Ovis aries: one gene and its partner. Each later gene encodes a partner of the first gene's protein in a complex. Links are inferred from orthologs where the notes say so. Each region holds a gene or a part of one and is shown in the gene's direction. Other genes may lie near its edges.

What was found.
Region 2: UPF3B (region 1) and MAGOHB share a complex: the UniProt entries of both Homo sapiens proteins name them as parts of the mRNA splicing-dependent exon junction complex. The link is inferred for Ovis aries from reciprocal best matches to the Homo sapiens genes UPF3B and MAGOHB.

Annotation. Positions count from the first base shown.
Region 1 is NC_056080.1:114,667,699-114,672,257, forward strand, and holds the start of UPF3B (regulator of nonsense transcripts 3B), read left to right. Parts: upstream 1-1,457; 5' UTR 1,458-1,557; coding exon 1,558-1,713; intron 1,714-2,470; exon of another isoform or gene 2,471-2,520; intron 2,521-2,574; coding exon 2,575-2,681; intron 2,682-2,843; coding exon 2,844-2,950; intron 2,951-4,559. UniProt on the Homo sapiens protein: Involved in nonsense-mediated decay (NMD) of mRNAs containing premature stop codons by associating with the nuclear exon junction complex (EJC) and serving as link between the EJC core and NMD machinery.
Region 2 is NC_056056.1:204,671,001-204,674,818, forward strand, and holds part of MAGOHB (protein mago nashi homolog 2), read left to right. Parts: coding exon 1-110; intron 111-2,202; coding exon 2,203-2,285; intron 2,286-3,026; coding exon 3,027-3,126; 3' UTR 3,127-3,818. UniProt on the Homo sapiens protein: Required for pre-mRNA splicing as component of the spliceosome. Plays a redundant role with MAGOH in the exon junction complex and in the nonsense-mediated decay (NMD) pathway.

The DNA of each region.
Region 1 (4,559 bases):
GTGGTTCATCCAGCCCAGTGTTTCTCATGATGTAGTTTTCATATAAGTTAAATAAGCAAGGTGACAATATACAGCTTTGACTACTCCTTTCCCAATTTGGAACCAGTCTGTTGTTCGATTCCAGTTCTAATTGTTGCTTCCTGACCCGCATGCAGATTTCTCAAGAGGCAGGTCAGGTGGTCTGGTATTCCTATCTCTTTAAGAATTTTCTCTCACTAGTTTTACCTTGTCTGGAATTTCGTATCAATGAGATCATACAGCATGTACTCTTTGTGTTCTGTTTCTTTCACTCAGCATGACCATTTTGAGATTCATTCATGTGGATGGATGGATGGGTTCATTTGTAATTAAGTAGTATTTCATTCCAGAGAAGGCAATGGCACCCCACTCCAGTACTCTTGCCTGGAAAGTCCCATGGACGGAGGAGCCTGGTGGGCGGCAGTCCATGGGGTCAGGAAGAGTCAGACACCACTGAGTGACTTCACTTTCCCTTTTCACTTTCATGCATTGGAGAAGGAAATGGCAACCCACTCCAGTGTTCTTGCCGGGAGAATCCCAGGGACGGGGGAGCCTGGTGGGCTGCCATCCATGGGGTCGCACAGAGTCGGACACGACTGAAGCGACTTAGCAGCAGCAGCAGCAGTATTTCATTCTATGGATGTGCCACATTTTGTTTATGCATTAGTGGATTGACAGACATTTGGGTTGTTCCAGTTTGGAGATATTATAAATAATGCATAACTGGCCTTTTTAAAAGCTGGAAGGAGGTCAATCCTATCTAAAGTGAGTTGGATTTTATTTTCTCCTACCTACAGGGCATCAGTACCATGATAGATTCCTATTAACTTTTAAAAAGAGCGGTGAAAACAAATCTCACACATTTTGGTCATAATACTCCTTTAAATGTCAGTGTTTTGTGCATTGAGTGTCTGTGAATCCTAAAAAATATAAGGAAAAGAAATTCTAAAGGTTCTGAAAGCTCACTTTACAACCAATAATAGAAAATACAAGTCGTTCGTGAGGTAAACTTTGGATAACATCGATTTTATCTCTGGAAAACGAAGCCCACAGAGTGTATCTTTCTTTTTTTTTTTTAGAGTGTATCTTTCGATCTGAAAAACATTAACCTTTCAAGATTAAACTTTCCATTTACTTATAAACAGGGAACCTGAAATACTACGACTTCAGAACTCAGCCAGAAGCGGGTAACCGCTTTGAATGCCGGGATTTGTAGTCCGTGAAATACTCGTCCTAACCAAGATGGCGGATATGCTAATGAGCGGCCCCGAGGGAGTCTGGGCCGCGAGGGGATTGGGCGATGCGGGGATTCCGCGGGAGGGAAGCTAAGACCAGGTGTTACAACCTTTCCAGCGAAGGAAGCCGGATGCCCTGAAGTCTCGCGAGATCCTGCCGGGGCCCAATGGAGCGTTGGGGTCGGCTTATCACTAGGAGAGCTTGTTGGGGGCGGAGCTCTGCCCTGAGCGGGCCGGGAGGCGTAGGTGCCCGGCGTAGCGGCGTTTAGGCCGAGCTACCGCGGTGAGGAGCGAAGCTGTGGCCATGAAGGAGGAGAAGGAGCACAGGCCTAAGGAGAAGCGAGTAACCCTCTTGACTCCTCCAGGTGCTACAGGCAGCGGCGGTGGGGCTTCGGGAGACAGCACCAAAGGGGAAGATAAGCAGGATCGGAACAAGGAGAAGAAAGAGGCGTTGAGCAAGGTGTCTGGCCGGCTGTTGGCCCAGGAGAGGGCGGGACGGTTCCACCACCCGAGAAAGATGGTTGGGAATGGGGCTGCCCTCTTCCTCTCCCAATCTCTTCCTCTGTTTCTTCACTTGAGTGAAAATCGCATCACCCTGTCTCATCCACTCTCCCAAAATGGGGGTTCCCTTCCCGGCAGAGCTCCGGGATGGGAGTGAGGGAGGGCGGGGGGATTCCCTGACTGGAAGGGTTTAGGTCAGAGCCGTGAGATGATGATGGGAGGGGGGGGCGATAGCGAAAAGGATGAGGAATTGAGGGGGAATTATTAAACAGAAAGGTGCTATCACCAGCGGGAGTAGTACGTGATAGGAATATTAACAGGTTAGTTGAGGGAATGGGTGGGTGGCGGCTATTAATGGTCTTGGGCCAAATCGGGTACATTCTGTTCGGGGAGCAGTGAGGGAATTGGGGGTATTTCTTAGAATTTTGAATTCTTTATGCTGACTGAATAAGGACTTTATCAATCAAGAATTCCTGGCACCCACAAAAGACCAGGGTTGGTTTACAAATTTCTTACCACTACTGAAAAATGGGTGACAGAAAATGAGGCGAAAACCTAGTAAACCGTGGGGCTTCGGGTTAACAGAACCTAAGATTTCCTTGCTCCAGGCAGTTCTCGTTTCTGAGAGTTTTTTTTTTTTTTTTTTTTTAAACTATGTTACTGTTAACGTTTGACTAATCGTTCTGAGCGTTCTGAACATTCTCTTGGGTTTTTAGAAGTGATCTCATCTTTTAAAGGCCAACTTTCTTCAGGAACAGTGATTCAGGTATGACAGAAAATTGATTTGTACTAATTTTATTTTCCTTATTCATTTCTTAAGGTGGTAATTCGGAGATTACCGCCCACTTTGACCAAGGAGCAGCTTCAGGAACATCTTCAGCCTATGCCTGAGCATGATTATTTTGAGTTTTTTTCTAATGATACTAGGTAAAATAAGAGGGAGGGGTAAATGAAAAAGGTTTCTTCCATTCTTTTTTTTAATCCTACTCATGATTTCTATTTTATTTTTGAGCCTTTTTAATATATGCATACTTGTAATTCAGCCAGACACCTGCAAGCACATTCACATAATTGCTTTCCTTCCTGCAGTTTGTATCCTCATATGTATGCAAGAGCATACATCAACTTTAAAAACCAAGAGGACATTATTTTGTTCAGGGATCGTTTTGATGGTTATGTATTCCTTGACAATAAAGGTGAGTCCTTTTAACTGAAGGGGAGTTTGTCATTTGTTTAAGACAGTGTATCCCTGTTCTCTTGATGCCTTCATAGTGTTTCTGAAATCCTGAGTGATAAGATGAGCAACATTTAAAGAGTTTTATGCATTTGATAAGCTTATGACAGCCTTATAAATAGATAATATGAGGTTTTACAGGTATTTGTATTAACCTATTATTTCTCTAGTTTGTCAACCAAAGGAAATTGCCACTGTTTTCTCCTCCTGTGACAGTTCTTTTGCCCTGTTTTAGGTGATCCGTTGTCTTGAGTATTTACTAGTTTTAAGTGATACTGACAAGTGACTCTTTAAACTTGTATGACAAGTTTTAAATATTTACTTCTCATCTTGCTTCAAGGACCAATACTTATTTAATTCAGATCCTTTATGTCAATAGTTGCCAGTTGGAGTACTGTTTAACATTCTAAGTTGTATGTAATTAAACCACTGAGCTTGATGATTTCCCACTTCCTATCCAGGAGTTTATAGGGAAGAAAAACTTCTGCATTAACCCTCATTTTATTATTTGTTGCTTGCAACATTTAGCCAGAGAATGTCCAAGTCTGGCTACTTTTGCTACTAAGTTTGCTACTTTTCTTTTGGCTATGCAATATTGAATGATGTGTGTTTTTGTTAGATTATATTTTTTCAATATTACTTCAGAGTTGGTAAAAAATGAAATCTTTGTCAGGGAATATGCCAGTAAAAGTTGAAGAATTGCCTCTATGTTTGTCCAGTTTTTATTAATCCCCCCAAACCAGCTACTTTTCTGCTCCACAAATTTATTCCAGTAGATAGCAAATGGTTTCCTGAAAATCTGAGTTGTGTTTAACTTTTTCCTCTCTTTATCCCTTACATTTAAACAAGTGATGGATTTTGTCAATTTATTGCTTTTTAATATCTTGTTCATCTAGACTGAGGACGTTAGACTTACTGATACTTTCACATGTCCTCATCACCTAATGCTTAGACAACCACTCTCTCTAAACTTATAGAATTTTCCATTTTCTGTATAATTTAGTCTTACTTTGCCATGAAAATAATCTTTTTGAAGATAGTGACTTAAGACAGCAGTTGTGGGAAAAAAGTCCAAATTCCTTAGGTAGACAAAATGTTTTCATCACTTCAGAAAGAATCCTGTATTCATTAGCAGTCATCTCCCATTGTTTGGCCTCACTTCTAATTTTTTTTTTTTTTGCCTATATTCCACAATTTCCTTTTGCTTCGGTCTGGTTTATCTATTCCTTTTCAGGTATATCAGTTATTAAGGTAATATGATTCTGCACTCACTAGGATTTCTAAAATCTTGTTTCCTCTGTGACTGCTTTGTGATATCTAATGGTCAGTTCTAGTAATTTATCCTGGCTTATGTTTACACACCAAAGGTGTAAAGATGGTATTTTATACCTTCTATTACATTATTCTATAGCAAGGATTTGATGTATTTTTCCAGTAGTCACTTAGGTTTTTAAAAAATTATTATTGAGATATAACTCATACCATAAAATTCAGTGGTTTTTAGTATATTCACAGAGGTTTATAACTATCACCACTGGGTAATTCCAGAATGTTTTCATCACTTCAAAAAG
Region 2 (3,818 bases), on another chromosome or scaffold:
CTTATGTACACAAGAGTGTCATGGAAGAACTGAAGAGAATTATTGATGACAGTGAAATTACAAAAGAAGATGATGCTTTGTGGCCTCCCCCTGACAGGGTTGGCCGACAGGTTTGTATTTAATAATTCTTTAAATGCATAAATTGTAAACATTATTAATAGAATTGTTGTGGTTCTCCTTATTTATCTAGAATAGATCCTCATTGAATCTTGGATTTTTTTCATCTAGTAGGCACCTGGTAAATGGTTTATAATTGTATTTCACTTTGCATCAATTTGTGAGCTACCTCCTAGTAATAAAGGAGTCAGTTTAGACATCTTTCTGAACAGTCTTCTCTGCAGCCACCGCAGCTAACCTTAGGGTGTTTTCACAGTATTAGAATTAATTTCCATTATAGGTTAAGTACTTTTATAAGGACTAATGAGTTCTTGCCTGATGAACTGTAATCCACCAGGCTCCTCTGTCCATGGGATTTTCCAGGCAAGAATACTATAGTGGGCTGCCATTTCCTCCTCCAGGGAATCTTCCTGACCCAGGGGTCAAAGCCAAAGCTGTGTCTCTTGCATCTCCGGCACTGGCAGGCAGATTCTTTACCACTGGCACCACTTGGGAAGCCCAATGATAATAAATAATAAAAATAGGTAGGAAAAAACTCAAATGTTTGATGAATTTGAGAATTAGGATTCTCACTATGTAAAATTCACTTTCTCCAGATATATAACTTTGAAAATTCGTATTTGCTTCTTTACACTCCAGAGAGATTTGATTGGTTTCTTTGTTCAAACTGACCATTGCCTTTGCCTGTCATATTCCCTTCAGAAAAATTGATATTTCTCAAAGAGCTGCTGAAGAGCTCTGAAGGCCTGATTTCACTCTGTAGAAAGACAGTTTGATTTCTGAATTGGGTCTTTTCAACTGCTGGAAGAATGAGATATGACTGCAGGAGGAAGAAACACTTAATTTCGCTTTTGTGTGTTCCTGAGGATTATACTCTATAACAACTTCTTTGACTAGAAGAAAATGTGGAGAATAGATGCTGATGCTCTGTAGCAGTAACTTAACGCTTCTATTTAAAGAAACATTATTTAGGAAAGCAAAGGTAATAGTTAACAGTATTTATTGTATTCACTGTGAACACTTTTAAGAAGTAAATTTAAATTTCCATTTGTTTTAGACACACATATATATATATAGGCATTAAAAATCAGAAACAATAGCAGCAAACCTTTTATTTATCTCTTAGACTCAAGGAGAGAGCAGTGTTTTCATCTACCCACTTGATCATGTGTTCATGTGTTTTGGATAATGGGGAGGATTACTTCTGCCGTTGAAGTTGTCTCTTGGATCTTTAGGTCAAAGATTTTGATTGCTTGAGAGTCTTAGTTAATTATCCATTCTGTGTGTGTGCCATAAAGGGGCATAATTAGATCTTTTCTGATCAAATACAGATCTGGGAATGTCTTTAATGGCATCTGTTAATTTAAACTGAAAACTTAATACAGACATAGCCTCTTAATTTTTCATTTTAGATTTGCAGATAAAATGTGGAGAAAAATTTATACTTAATTTTGTACACAAATCTTTCAGTTTTACAATCCAAGAGTTAAATATTAGTACCATCACATATTAGTGGTTGTAAATACAAACAGTTTTTTTTTTTTATCTTGCTTTTGAGTCTTGGGCTTTATATTTGTAAAATCAGGCAATAAAGCTGACCTGAGAAAGACAGGCTTTATTAGCCCAGTTTTGGGGATTACAAAGAACATGTTTTTAAAGTCCCTATCAGCAGGTCTGATACACAGTAGGTGCTAAATAGTGCTATTATTAGCATTATGCAGTTTATTTGTAGAGCCTGGTAGAAAGGATAAATGTATTTGTATTTATTATATTAAAAATAGGCTTAAACCCATATTCTTAGTTTTTATTGACATCACTATTTCTGTGTGCCTCTGAAGTCTATCATTCATTTGATAGCATCTTCTTTGTCAGATCTCTGGAAAGCAGTTCTTGATTCATCCTAATACTGGGGAACTCTGAGGAGTTGAGATTTTTACTTTACAGACATAGTTAACAAATTGTTTCTTTTTTATTTTTACCCCCTCCTCTATTACGGCTAGAAAACTTGCAGCTAAAATCAGGACCTCTTGGTTGTAAGAGGTGAATTTTTACACTAACTACATTTCTCTGTTTTATTTTTTTCAGGAGCTTGAAATTGTAATTGGAGATGAACACATTTCTTTTACCACATCAAAAATAGGTTCTCTTATTGATGTCAATCAGTCAAAGTGAGTATTAAAAGCATTAATAAAAGTTAAAGCATTTTGACTAAATTGACATGATTTATTAGGCTTATTTTAGAACCATAGCCAGTTTGATGAGATTAATTGTATCCTGTAGCAATTTATTATGTATATGTAATCCTCATTTTTATATTAGTAAAGACTTATTATCAAAGAAGTTAACAGTATATTTTACTGATTCCCAAAATTAGTCTGGATGCAGCCCCACAGAGTTTAAAAGAAATCTTCTTGAATTTCTCAGCCTTATTAGTTCCATATGACATCATTTGCCTCCTTGGGTTTAATACTTGAAAGAAATGGAGAAAAGCCTGATATAGCTTAAGTATGGCTGTAGCCATATGTGCCTTCCCAAGCTCTGTGTGTGACAGATACCTCTTACTATTATCTGAAAAAGCTCTCTGCCTCCTTCTACTGCTTTCCACTCTTTCCCCTCAAAATGTTCTCCTAGTGTTATTTTCTTATCAGCGTAACTTATAATAACTTAACTTGTTTGCTTAACTGGTTTCAGTGTAAAAGAGAGAGAGGAATTTCAGAGAAAAGTTCAGAGAAAAGATAAAGATAGAAATTGTCCAGTATATCAGTTATATTAATAGTTATCAGAAAATCCTTTCTCCTCAGTTCCTTTAATTTTTTTTGGTTTTTGGTCTCTGTTTTAAGAATTAACTTATATTATTATGTTGTTTCATTCTTGGAATAAAAAACTAACTTTTATCTTTTAAATTTTAGGGATCCTGAAGGCCTTCGAGTATTTTACTATTTGGTACAGGACCTGAAGTGTTTAGTGTTTAGTCTTATTGGATTACATTTCAAGATTAAACCAATCTAAACTATATGTGTTTTGAAACTGGGTTTATATTTAATTAAGGGGTGGGTGAGGGAGGATTTGTTCATTTATAATATTGGGGGTTTTATGAATGTGAAGCAAACTTTTTTGTATGCAAATTGAAAACAAGACAATATCTAAGCAGGCTTAACTGTTATCTTCACTTGAGTCCAAGTGGGTTAAGCAGTCACCGCACACATTAAACTCTGTAAATAAAAGCCACCTTTTGTTGAAATTTTGCTCCAATAAAACATCACAGCCTGGATGGAGAGTGCTTTTGGTCCTTCCGGAGGCCAGATCTCTGATTCATTTTAAAGATGAAAATTGTTCTAGAAGGTGTATCCTATGACAGAAGGTCTTATATGTAGAAACATATAGCCAGATTCCCATCTGCTTAAAAGCAGTTGTAGATCTCCCCTTGTTTCTGCCACACCTGACCAAATTTAAGTTTTTGGTGCTCATAAAAGTTGTTTATAGAAGCTTTTGGATTTTTTGTGTTTGTCACAAACTCCTTAGGGGTTATTCACATTTCAGTGTTTTTGTGTAAGCAGTGATTTCCTCAAGGTTACAAAGGTAAAGTCAGTATCCAAAGTTAGACACATCTTTTATTATGTGCCTATTCCCGTATTTCGCAATCCACATATTTTGTATATCTGTGGGAAATAAATGAGTTCTCAGCTCTACAAATTGTTTAA